Cricetulus griseus: one gene and its partners. The protein of the gene in region 1 purifies or fractionates together with the protein of each later gene. This does not show direct contact. Links are inferred from orthologs where the notes say so. Each region holds a gene or a part of one and is shown in the gene's direction. Other genes may lie near its edges.

Region 1 (4,249 bases):
GATTTTGTTCCTTTAGTGTTGCAAAAAGAATCAAAGACCTGCTACAGGCTAAGCATGCACTCTACTGAGGGACACCTCCAGTTCCTCTCTTTATTTTTAAACATTTACCTTTTTTTTATCTTTAAGATTGCCTTTAAGATCTTTATTGATGTCTAAGATCTCATTTGCTGGCCACAGAGGAGTCTGCGTCCAGGGACGACAGGGTAGTAATGCCTGAGAGACAAACTGTGTCATTCACTATCTTACCATTGCTCTCCTTGGCACCCACCTACTTTAAGATTACAATTTTCTTCGGGTTCATTCGTGTTTCTGACTGGTTCTGACCCACAACTTGTTCAGATGTTTCAGCCATTCTAACTGTGCTATATTTCAGTACGCCCATCTGGGTTTCTGCTCATCTGTACCAAGCTGGTGTTGTGTGACAAAACACTTCTTGAGAAGACACAATACACACCTAGTCACTACAGATGAGTATGGATACCAGCAAAGTTGAAGAGTGTCCTCCAGCTATTTAAGTTGGTCTAGACCTCTTCCAGGCAGGAGGCAGGAGGCTGATTTCTGCTTCTTCTAAGCAGTTTGGCTGAGTCTTCTTTGCAGCTCCGTGGAGTTCATCGAACAGGGATTCTCAACTTTTATTGCTTACTCCAGCAAGGAGTAACCCGGTGAATCTGGTCAGTTTCAAGGACTCCCAAAGTTCCTTTGTGCCGTTTACTTTCCTGTTTAAGGAGTTTCTCTGCAGGATAGAATGTTTCAATCTCGCAGGAAACGGTTACACAACACCTGGGTCCAGTCCCTGGATTTCAGTCTTTCTCCAGCGTCCTCACCCACAACTCTGTAAACCTTCCCTCCAGTTTTTAATTGTTCACAGCACTTAGTTAAGTGAGCATCGTATTTGTCTGTCTCTTCACCCTAGAAGGGAGAAGTATTCAGCAAATCTTCTTGAACAAACCTCTAATTAGGGGATTCAATGCCTTGTGTTTTGGTTTCCACTTATGTCTCACACTTTTTAGGTGTGAAAATATCTTTCTGAGTCTGGGTCATGCTTTTTGGTTTCTGTCCCAGTTTGGCAGTCTAAGTTCATTAGTGTGAGGGCCACGGATTCCCAGAGGCCTGTCTCAGGGGTCCATTGCTTGGTGTATGCTGAGTCCTCCGGTCTCACGCCAAGTGCCTGGTTCCACATGAGTTCGTCCTGGGCACCGCACAGCGGTCGGACACACTGTGGGGTCGTTACGCCCAGGTTTCCACCAGGCTTTCAAGAGCCACCAAACAAACTGAACGCCCGGTTCTCCAAACGCACGTGACGGCCCTCCCCCGCAGCCGCAGTGCTCCTGCCTCAGTTCGCTGCTTCCGCCGGCCCTCGAGACCCCGCCCAGCGCCGCGAGGAGCCAATCAGCGCTCACGCCCTTGACTCCGCCCCAGCGCCCCTCGACGCCAGCCCCTCCCTCCTCCCGCTCGCTGCCCGCCCGTCAGGCAGGAAGGCAGGCAGTGGTTCACTGGCGGTCAGTTCTTTGCTCTGTGTTGTCTTCGTTCCGCGTTCCCGGTCGCGGGCGGCGGCGGCTACACGGGTGGCAGCGCGGTCCCTGCGGGAGGCGCTGCACAAGCCGAGCGGCGGCCGCGAAGCGTCGAGCCCAGCGCGGCGGCGGCGACTAGGCAGCCAACATGGCGGCGGCGGCGGCGGCGGGCCCGGAGATGGTCCGCGGGCAGGTGTTCGACGTGGGGCCGCGCTACACCAACCTCTCGTACATCGGAGAGGGCGCCTACGGCATGGTTTGGTGAGTGTCTACTCCGGTTTGCAAGCTCGGCCTCACCCGGTCACCCCTGCCTGTGCCCCTGGCTGTTCTGGACGCAGCCGCGGCCCTTCCCGCGCCTTGGCCTCGCGTTCTGCAGCGACCTGGACCCCTGACTCCTCTTTGGTCCACAATCACGGAGCCCGTCGAGGCTTAGTTGTTGCTGGGGTGCTTCCTGGGCTGCCCCTCGTTTGCCGTTGGAGGGGCACCCCACACTGAGGTCAGGACCCGAGGACTTGGTCTCAAGCTCGTACTTTGGAGTCTTCTCCCTTGGGACGGGAACGGAAGTGCACCGTGTCCCCTAATTTATGGCATTATAGCCGCCTTCTTTGACATTAGATCGTAAAACCAGGAATTCCATCACAGGCTTGTCGGTGGTGGTGGAGGCGGCCGTGGTTTTGCAAGCGAGAATCCTCGGCTTGTGTGCTGAACACCAAAATATTTTTCTTCCCTTCCTTGTGTATACGTGAACAGCTTTCACAAAATATCTTCAGTGGAGCTAATGATGCGTTCCAACTTAGGCTTTCTAAAAAGCATTAATGACACCAGCGTTGGTTGTGAGGATATTTAAATCTTGAAGTTTCAAAATGGATGTAAATATCGTTGCGTTGCAGGAAGGATAAGCTAGCATCACTCTTAAAGAGTTATTAAGATGTATTTGGAATTGGGCCTAATTTGACTTTAACTCCTTCGTTACCATCGAGTATTTTCAGACCTAATTTTGCATGGTCACTTGTAGGATTTCTCACCTGATTGTGGAATGATGAAGTGTGTTGTTTTTACTGGAACAAGTATTTGTGTTTTGTACTGAAAACTTGTGGGAGTAGGTTTTCTTACCCCTAAATTTGTGTCTTTTGTGCTAAATGAAGAAAACTAATTTATTGAAGGTCTCTGAGATACTCTGCTATCCGAATAGTTTAATTTTGTCTGGATAGCCATCTTGAGGAAAAAGATACCCTCTTTCAGATAAGGTATAGAAAGGAAGTCCTTTCCCAAGGGCGAAGGACTAGAACCAGGCTCTGATTATAGACAGATCCTGTTTCAAATGCTGCAGCTCTTCAGTCATTACACATGCCTTTCTTTAATGTTAGTAATAATCTTGGAACTTTAGCATATTTTCCTGATGAGCAAGTCTATTTCAGAAATGCATTCAAATTTGAATGGTCATAATTTTAGAAATGGTAGGAAAGACGTGTTTTCCACCAACTGTCTTAACTAGATAGAATAATTAACGTTCTTTTTAAAAAGACTCACAGTGTACAACTATGAAGATAAAGGTGAACTGGTCTTGGGAGTCAAAACAAATTAAATTAGGTCACAATTAAAGACTTATAAAGGAGTACTTAAAAAAGTACTTCCCCTTCACATCTGTCTTGCACATATTGCTGCTCTTGTACCTGCATGCCAGTAACTCTCTTATTATACTGAAGATTGCCAGTTATAGTTTCATTTATTTTAAAAACTAGCTTATTTTAAATAGGCACAAAAATTGAGGATATGTCATTTGGACTCCCCACAACCACCTCTGTTTGATAAGATGGATTATTTAGATTCTGGTGCTATTGCTGCTGTGGAGTTACTTAACCTTTGAAGTTTACAGCTGCTGTGCAAAGTTCTCTTTAAAATTCAAATTTTAGGGGCTGGGGAGATGACTCAGCAGTGAAGAGCAGTTGCAGCTCTGGGTTCTAGTCCCAGTACCCACCTGCAAGCTCACAACTGTCAGTAACTCCAGTTCTAGAGGATCAGATGTTCCTTAGACACAAATTTGAGGGAAATACCCATATTTGTGAAATAAATTAAATTTAAAAATACAAATTTTAATTTTAAGAAAAGTGTAGACCAGGTGGTGGTGGCGGCATACACCTCTAATCCCAGGAGGCGAGGCAGAGGCATGTGTTCTGTGAGTTCAGGCCAGCCTGGTCTACAAAGGGAGTGCCAGGACAGGCTCCAAAGCTACACAGAGAAACTCTGTCTCAAAAAAAAAAAACAAACAAATAAAAAATGCAGGTACAATTGGAATTTGAATCCTGGATCCATCCTTTTATCTCCAGGTTGATAACATCTTAGTATTTGTAGAATATTTTTAATTATAGGTCATTAGCATTTGATCATTAGCTGGGTTTATGGAGAACATCTTGACCTTAAATGCCTGCTTGAATAGTTGTGATCTTTTAAAAAGCTAGGCTTAACAATCAAGACCATCTTCAGATCCCAGCATCTACATTAGGTGACCCTCTGACTTCCAAGGGCATCTGCACATATGTGGTTCAAAGAAAACTCATATGTACATAAACATACTAAAAAAATAATTTTAAAAACCATGAAAAAATGTTTAAGGGATTTTCAGCTATCCTTTAGCAGGGTTTTCCCTAAAGTAGTTCATTGGAAATTGTGCCTATTTTGGTTAGATTCCCCTTCCTTATGTAGAAGACAAAAAGATAAGATTGGGTGGTGGGTGCTCA
Region 2 (3,875 bases), on another chromosome or scaffold:
GCCCGAGTTTAATAGAGTTGGGTGCTCAGAATTCCTGGGTACCTGTAGCCAGGCCTGTACAAATGAAGCCCAGATGAGAATAAGGAACACAGGAGCTGCCTTGTGCCTTCAGTATTTCGGTGGCATTTCACAGCCAAATTGGATGGCTCTGGATAGCCCATTATACAGATGGGGGCCATCTAGTTCCAGACAAAGGCTAATAGTTAAGGGTTATTAAGTGAGTTGTTTGAGGCAGTTTCTGGTTCTGGGGTGCTGGGCTTTTGTCCCCACCCCTCTTCCTGATTCCAGGGACCAGACTGGCGCCGAGCAGGGGCAACTGCCACTGGTCCCCTGCTGGGCCCCCGACCTGCCCTTGGCCTCTGCCCCGACCCAGTCCCGCCTGGGTGGAAGCCCTAGCTCAGCTTGCTGCTTGCAACTCCCACCCGGCTGTTCGTTCTCACTGGTTGGCTGGCCTGGCCTGTATGCCCGCCCCGCCACCCCACCGCCCCCCCCCCCCTCCGAGCAGCTACTAAGTCGGTCCGAAGGCTGCGCGGCTCCCAAGGTGGAAGCTGGATCCGGCTGCCAGGAAGCGGCCAGCGCACGAGTGGCGCGAGGCTTGGCTTCCACGTGCGAGCCTGATCCGCCACCCCGCCCTCTCCGAGCGCCCAAACCTGGGGACTCCCTCTCCAGGGACGATACCTGCGCCCTGCCCTGGCACTAGCTGTGGCCAGGACGTCCACGCGCGGCCGCCTGCCTCTGGATCTGGCTCCAGGTCTCTCCTTTTGTTCTCTCCTGGGGTGGGGAGGAGTGGGGCCGAGTCAGCTCTTACAGGACTCGCCTAGGCCCATCACCTCGGTGACCCTCTTGTTTTCTGGTTCTTCCTGGCCTTGGAGAAGATTCAGGCCTTGAACCCAATTTCTCCACACACCCCAAGTCGAACTTGGGGAGTGATGGAGATCGGGGCGAGTGAGAAAGTCAGAAAACGGGTGTGGAGGGAACTGGATTTAGTCCTCCTAGAATCCCCCCCCCCCCAAAAAAAGAAAGTCTTCATTCAAGAGGCCGCTAGACTTTCTCCTTCTGGGGTATGTCTTACACAAACTCCATCTAAGCGGGACAGGGAGCAACACCCCAGTGGCGGCGGCCTCGGGTGTTTTTCCTGGGGCGCCTTCCTTGGTTTTCTCACTGTGGGTGGAGCGCAAGGAGAGAAGCAGGCGGTGGAGGAATGTCCCTGCAGGGACACTGGGCGCCTGCCCTCAGGACAGGGCCTGACTTCCCGTCTCAGTAGCCTGGTCCACACTGCGAGAGTAGAGACAAACCTTCCCTCACTCTGCGCCTTAGGTCTCTCCACAGCACACACTGCCCGACGGACAGAAGTGCAGAACGCTGCGCACCCATGGAGAGTCTGGGTCGTTCGTGCCTGTGGCTGCGGCAGGAGCTGTCGCCCCCGCGCCCACAGCTTCTACTGCTCGACTGCCGGAGCCGGGAGCTGTACGAGTCAGCGCGCATCTGCGGGGCGCTGAGCGTGGTCCTGCCTGCCCTGATGCTGCGCCGCCTGCGGAGAGGGAGCCTGTCCGTACGCTCACTCTTGCCTGGGCCACCGCTGCAGCCTCCCCCACCCGCCCCTGTGCTCCTATACGACCAGGGTAGTGGCCGATCCAGGCATGGAGAAGCAGAGGCCGAAGCCCCAGAGTGGGAAGCTGACTCGGTGCTGGGCATTCTGCTCCAGAAGCTGCGGGAAGAAGGCTACCTGTCCTACTACCTACAGGGTACGTGAGGTGCAGTGGGCTGAGAGAGGGCACAGGGAACCTGTGATGGCCTCAGGTCAGGAGACGGTCCTGCCTTCCAAGGGGGATTTCATAATTATTTTATCCTTGGGCAAACCCCATCGCATTTTGTCTAAAATGTAGGTTAATATAATACTTGCTCCCAGTAACCTACCAGACAGCTTTTGGGAAGGCAGACCTAAGTGTGACCTTGGGCAAATCCTTCATCCGTCCAAGCCCATTTATAAATCTGGAAAATAGGGAGAATTGACCTGAAACAACATAGTTCACAGGATGTTCCCTAGAGCAAGCGGCTGCACCATACAGAGAGACAGCCACAAGTGCTAAGTGAGAGATGGCTGTCCATAGTATGCACCACACGTGGCTCTCCAGTAAAGATTAAACTGCTGGTTTGTGTGTTCCCTTCGGCAATATCTGCAACCCACCTAGGTTGTTAGGGTCACCTCCCTAGCCTCAGCTAGGGATTCCTGGCTGCCCAGCTGGCTATAATAGCAAGAGCACCTCTTTCTTTCCTGACAGGTGGTTTCAGCAAATTCCAGGCCGAGTGTCCTCACCTTTGTGAAACCAGCTTCAGTGGTTGTGCTGGATCAAGCCTGGCCGCATTGCCTAGCCCAGTGCCTGTGGTGGGGCTAGGTGGCCTGTGCTTGGGCTCTGATACCTCTGATGCAGAGTCTGAGGCCGACCGTGACTCCATGAGCTGTGGCCTAGATTCGGAGAGTACCACATCCCCTCCAGCTGGGCTGCTACCACCGTTCCCAGTCCAGATCCTGCCCAATCTCTACCTAGGCAGTGCCCGAGATTCAGCCAACTTAGAGAGCCTAGCCAAGCTTGGCATCCGCTATATTCTCAATGTCACCCCCAACCTACCTAACCTCTTTGAGAAGAATGGTGACTTCCACTACAAGCAAATCCCCATCTCTGACCACTGGAGCCAGAATCTGTCCCAGTTCTTTCCAGAGGCCATTGCATTCATTGGTGAGTTCTCCCTATCCTCCCTGTCTTCTCTTTCCACCTGTCCCCACCTACTAGACTGACTCCTGGTCTGTCCTGCTCCTTACCCTCTCCTGTAAAGGAGTTTTTGCCTAGTTTAGCTACCCTCACCCAGAGCAGACAAGGCACTTGGGGAAGTGGGAGTAGAGCTCAGGTCAGCTGCCAGTAAAACCTCCCAGATAAGGGCTAGGTGGGGTGGAGAGACTGTGATGATATCCCCCAAAATTCACTGGGCTTTGGCCTCATTCATGCTGATCCTTGCCTTGTGGGGGGATGTTTCTGTCTGCTCTACCTAGATGAGGCCTTGTCCCAGAACTGTGGGGTGCTCGTCCACTGCCTGGCAGGAGTCAGCCGCTCTGTCACTGTCACCGTGGCCTACCTCATGCAGAAGCTCCACCTCTCACTCAATGATGCCTACGACTTGGTCAAGCGGAAGAAGTCTAACATCTCGCCCAACTTCAACTTCATGGGCCAGCTGCTAGACTTTGAGCGAAGCCTGCGCCTGGAGGAGAGGCGCTCTGGGGGACAGGGCAGTGGGGGACCAGAGTCCACTGTCTCAGACCCACCTTCTTTCTTTACTACCCCTACCAGCGATGGGGTCTTTGAGCTGGACCCCACATAAAGCCATGTGGAGTTGCTGGGCTGGTCCCTACCTATGACCCATGTATTAGCAGGGATGGGATGCAGCCATAATGGGGGGGGGAGCTCAATACCTCAAGCGGGGGTGGTGCAGCAAAGCAGGAACACAGCAGAGACCTGCCCTACCCCAGTTCTATTACACGTGCCTATGGGTGGGTCCATGGATACAGACCTGACTCGCACCACTTTAGGGCAGGACCATGCTCCAGGACCATGCCTCTTCTGTGACTGTTACTTTATTCTTTCGGGGTGGGAGTGGGGCTTCCTATCCAAGAGACCATTCCAGACTGCTGCCTGGTGCCTGGGCTCTGTCCCTTGCCATTTCCTCTTCAGGAAGATTATATCACACTTTGCCACAGGGACTTGCTCTTAGTTCCTTCCCTGTCCCCAAATGGCCACTTGTGGGAAAAGGTCTCACAGCTTTCACTGGTGTAGTCTCCTTCCTGCCTCTCTGGCTAGCGCTTAGACCTCTTGTGGCTCTGG
Region 3 (3,985 bases), on another chromosome or scaffold:
TACCACCAAGGCCGCGAGCGAACCCCGTAATTCCCTCGTTCGGTGATTAATTCTTGCTAACAAGACTTGGCAAGATCGCGGCAGAATAATTTTTGGCTTCTGAAAGGTCTCCACCGTGTGCGTGCACAAACCTCCCCTCTTGCCAAAAAGCCCTTGGGAAATTAAATGCCTCTGGCAAAGTAAAACCCGGGTGCGGACACTACGTGACCTAGAAAGAGGGAATGCAGAAACTCGAATCGCCTCTGAGCTTATTAAATTCGTTCAAAAGATTAGTCTTCGCATGGACACTTTCCGGCACCTTCCTTAGCACCAAATGTGGACCCTAATAGTCATTTCCTGAGAGGACAGTTCGCGTGTGTCCGAGAGGGAGGACTTCCTGCGAAGAGGAAAACGTCGGGGTGTTCTCCCCTCCCCAACCACGTAAGCTTAGGCATACCATTCGGCTAATTAACGCCCCCCTCTGGGTTGTAAAGTAACAAACTCTACACTTCTCTTTTGTTACTGGGCTTTGGCGCGAGGATCTTCCCTTTCATCTTCTAAGCCAGGGTTTGCCCATGTTCCACGGGAAACTATAAAGCTGAAATAGGCCAGGGTGGAAATCGATCACGCTAATGTAAAAACCAACGTCTGGGGAATCGCATTAAAAACAAAACGAAGCACAACCGGCACGATCCCAAGAGCAAGGTTAAGTCCTGCGAGAGGAGGTCCCAAGCTCTGTGGGTGGCAGCCACACAGCGCCCGGGTCCACTGAGCTGCAAGGAGCCAGACCTAGAAGACTGGGCCGCGGGGGTGGGGGGGATATCGCAGAGGCGAAGACCTCCAGCAAGAGAGCCCAGGCCTTGGTTAGGCCGGCGTCGCCACCCGCTACCATCTCTGCGCTTCCGCCGCGCTCCGGCGCTATAGAAGGACAGGGAGACGCGCCGCAGCTCCATTCACAAAGTCCGGGAGCTGCCGGCTCGCGGGCGGGTCGGAGGCTGCCTCCTTTTTCCTCTAGGTCTCAGTTTTATGAATGGGCCTGGCAGCAAGCACCGAGCGCCCTGTTTACTCCTCTCTTTGTGACGTCGAGTTCCCGTGACTGGGTGCGAGGGGGCCGGCCCTCCATTCACGAGCTGGGGTGGGGGCGGGGCTGGGCGGGGAGCTCGCGCGGGGGGCGGGGCCTGGCGAGGTAGTAATGACTCTTCCCTCCCCCGGGAGAGCCGGCGAGCATTAATAAATCTCTAAGCCGAGGAGGTAACTCTGGCTGGGGTAGTGCGCGCAGCTCCGGCGGGGTGTTGCGTGGAACAGCGGCGCCCGAGCGGTTGGCGGCAGGAGCAGCAGAGCTAGCAAAACACATTAGAGGCAACAAACCGAGGGTAGCCCTCTCTCGTAAACACACTCCCCTCATCGGCTACTTTCCCCCGGGGACCGCGTGCCTGCCTGCTTTGGAACCGGAGAAGGCTCCGACTGCTATGTAACGTCGAGTCTGCGGGTCGAGGAAGGGGTACGGGGAGAAGAGACTGGGGCCAAGTTTGCGGCCACTTCGATAGGCGCCCTCTTAGCCCTAGCCTGCTCCTTTCTGTAGCCTAGTTGGCCCGGGTGCCCTTGGTCTTCTCCAGCTCCCCAGCTGCTGCAGTTCCCGGCGACATGGTGACGATGGAGGAACTGCGGGAGATGGACTGCAGCGTGCTCAAAAGGCTGATGAACCGAGATGAGAACGGCGGCGGCGCAGGCGGCAGCGGCAACCACGGCGCCCTGGGGCTGCTGAGCAGCGGCAAGTGCCTGCTGCTGGATTGCAGACCGTTCCTGGCTCACAGCGCAGGCTACATCCGAGGCTCGGTTAACGTGCGCTGCAACACCATCGTAAGGCGGAGGGCCAAGGGCTCAGTGAGCCTGGAGCAGATTCTGCCCGCCGAGGAAGAAGTGCGCGCCCGCCTGCGCTCTGGTCTCTACTCGGCCGTTATAGTCTACGACGAGCGCAGCCCGCGCGCCGAGAGCCTTCGCGAGGACAGCACCGTGTCGCTGGTCGTGCAAGCGCTGCGCCGTAACGCCGAGCGCACAGACATCTGTCTGCTTAAAGGTAAACGTGGGCGCCCGGGCGCGAGCTGATGGGTAGGTGTAAGGGACTTGGCGGCCTGCTGGGCATGGGAAGAAGTACTCGAGTGACTTCGGGCTGCGGGAGTCCCCGTGAGTGTCAGTGTGCACGGTCTTGCCGTGGTTTTGAGCCCAAGTCTGGGGCTGGGGGAGTGCTGGCGTGTTTCTCCAGCCACCTGCCACCCGCACGCTTCCTAGAGTTACGTGTTTATTGACAAGAACAGCCCTGGCCTGGATGCTGGCAGCAATTGCTCTGCGCAGGCCAGCTTCGAGTGCTGAGATCGCACTCTTAAATTAAGTCCCCCAGGGACAAGAGAGGCCTGTTGGTTCGGTGTGACCCCGAGAACCCTAGAGACGGGTGAAGGAAGGTGAACGCCGAGGTGGGATCTGCCTCGAGTGTTCGTACACAATCCTGCCTTTGGTAAATGCTGGAAGGAGAATTGGGTTGCAGAGCTGGGGAGCGTTCTAATCTGTCTCCCGCTGCCCCAACTTAGAGCTTTTCTGGAAGGCGGCCAACTCTCCCTGCCCTGGGGTCCTGGAGCGGGGAGACTGGAGTGCTGTATTGGGGGACACCAGGCAGAACCGCGTCTCCTCCCGCTAATCCTGGCAGCGGAGAATCACTACCTTTTGTTCACACACCATTCTCGACTCTCTGCTGGCGGCGCGTGCCTGGTTGAAGCGAACCCTGGCCTAAATAGGCGGCCGGAGAGAAGGTGGCTTCTCAAATGTAGAAGTCAGATACCTCCAAAAGATCGCACACTGTCCTAGTCCCTGGAGAAAGGGACCGATGGCTCGCCGCACCTGCCAACCCAGCGTCTGTGCGGGCCCTCCGGCTGCGGAACCCGCGGTGAGCGCGGGGGTCGGGCGCCCCCTGCCGCGCTGCGCCCTTAGCTCCGGCCGCCGCATTCCGCGCATTCTTTCGCGCGGGTCGGGTCTTCGCTTTTGAACCCGGGAGGTATTTCGGATCCCCGGCTGCCAAGAGCCGCCCCTTTCTCTGTGGAGGCGCTTGGTCCCTTTTATTACACTTTTATTCCAGGAACCTGTCCACCGGGAGGAAGGGAGGCTGGGTGAAAAACCCTTTTCTCCGATCCCCTCGGAAAAGCACTGGGAAGCTGCTGGGTGCGGGCGAGCGGGCCCTGCGCAACAGCGGGGGGCTTTGTTCTCTGCAGTTGTTTCCTGACCGTTTGACCCGTCAGCTGCTGGGGGAAACGCTGCTGTTGACCTGAGCCTGAACTGCTAAGGCGATTTTGCTTACTTTTCTTTCTTTTTTCACGAGGGCCGCCTTTTGCTTCTCCAGGGGAGTCCTAGTCTCTCGGGCTTTTCCCTAAATCGTTTTAGGAGCGACGGCCGGGAAGACTCGTCCCGGATCTCACGATCGCCCAGCGGTCAGAGACGAGCCCTACAGGGTACCCGGAGCCCCGGGTCAGGCTCAGGTCCCGTGTTCTTCTCTCGGAGGGGTCCTGCTTGGACCCCAAGCTGCACGTCTGTGCTATTGTTCCAGCCTGCCTGCTCTTCCCAGTCGAGATCGCGCGGGTGGGAAAGGTGACACTGTATTGGGGTGGAAGTTGGGGAACTCTCTCTGGCTGTCCTGGGTTCTTCAGCCCTTGGATTGAGAAAGCGGGGCTACACCTTCCTACTCTGGCTTCGGGAGAGTCTAACTAAGCCCCACGTGGAGTCAGGGATTGTTTTGTTTTCCTTCCTGGAAAAAAATCCGTAGGGGACCGCCCTGGAGAGGCTGCTGCTGGCCTTCGTCCTGAGCGCTTTAAGGCTTCCTTCCGGGCCGCAGGCTCCACGACCTGGCGCACTGGGAGGGTTAAATTTCATGGCTCGCAGCACTCTGCAGTCGCTGATTGGGATCCGGAGACCCGGAGGCCAGACCAGTTCTGAAAACGCTTCAGGGCAAATACTGACGTAA

The links. Proteins that work in one complex are often made in the same cells at the same time.
Region 2: the proteins of Mapk1 (region 1) and Dusp9 purify together in Homo sapiens (affinity purification with mass spectrometry; 5 studies listed by BioGRID and IntAct, with this or other methods). This does not show direct contact. The link is inferred for Cricetulus griseus from reciprocal best matches to the Homo sapiens genes MAPK1 and DUSP9.
Region 3: the proteins of Mapk1 (region 1) and Dusp4 purify together in Homo sapiens (affinity purification with mass spectrometry; 6 studies listed by BioGRID and IntAct, with this or other methods). This does not show direct contact. The link is inferred for Cricetulus griseus from reciprocal best matches to the Homo sapiens genes MAPK1 and DUSP4.

The regions. Positions count from the first base shown.
Region 1 is NC_048597.1:72,356,855-72,361,103, reverse strand, and holds the start of Mapk1 (mitogen-activated protein kinase 1), read left to right. Parts: upstream 1-1,444; 5' UTR 1,445-1,659; coding exon 1,660-1,772; intron 1,773-4,249. UniProt on the Homo sapiens protein: Serine/threonine kinase which acts as an essential component of the MAP kinase signal transduction pathway. MAPK1/ERK2 and MAPK3/ERK1 are the 2 MAPKs which play an important role in the MAPK/ERK cascade.
Region 2 is NC_048604.1:2,101,939-2,105,813, reverse strand, and holds Dusp9 (dual specificity protein phosphatase 9), read left to right. Parts: upstream 1-1,372; coding exon 1,373-1,745; intron 1,746-2,282; coding exon 2,283-2,738; intron 2,739-3,049; coding exon 3,050-3,375; downstream 3,376-3,875. UniProt on the Homo sapiens protein: Inactivates MAP kinases. Has a specificity for the ERK family.
Region 3 is NW_023276807.1:50,092,659-50,096,643, reverse strand, and holds the start of Dusp4 (dual specificity protein phosphatase 4), read left to right. Parts: upstream 1-1,185; 5' UTR 1,186-1,623; coding exon 1,624-2,056; intron 2,057-3,985. UniProt on the Homo sapiens protein: Regulates mitogenic signal transduction by dephosphorylating both Thr and Tyr residues on MAP kinases ERK1 and ERK2.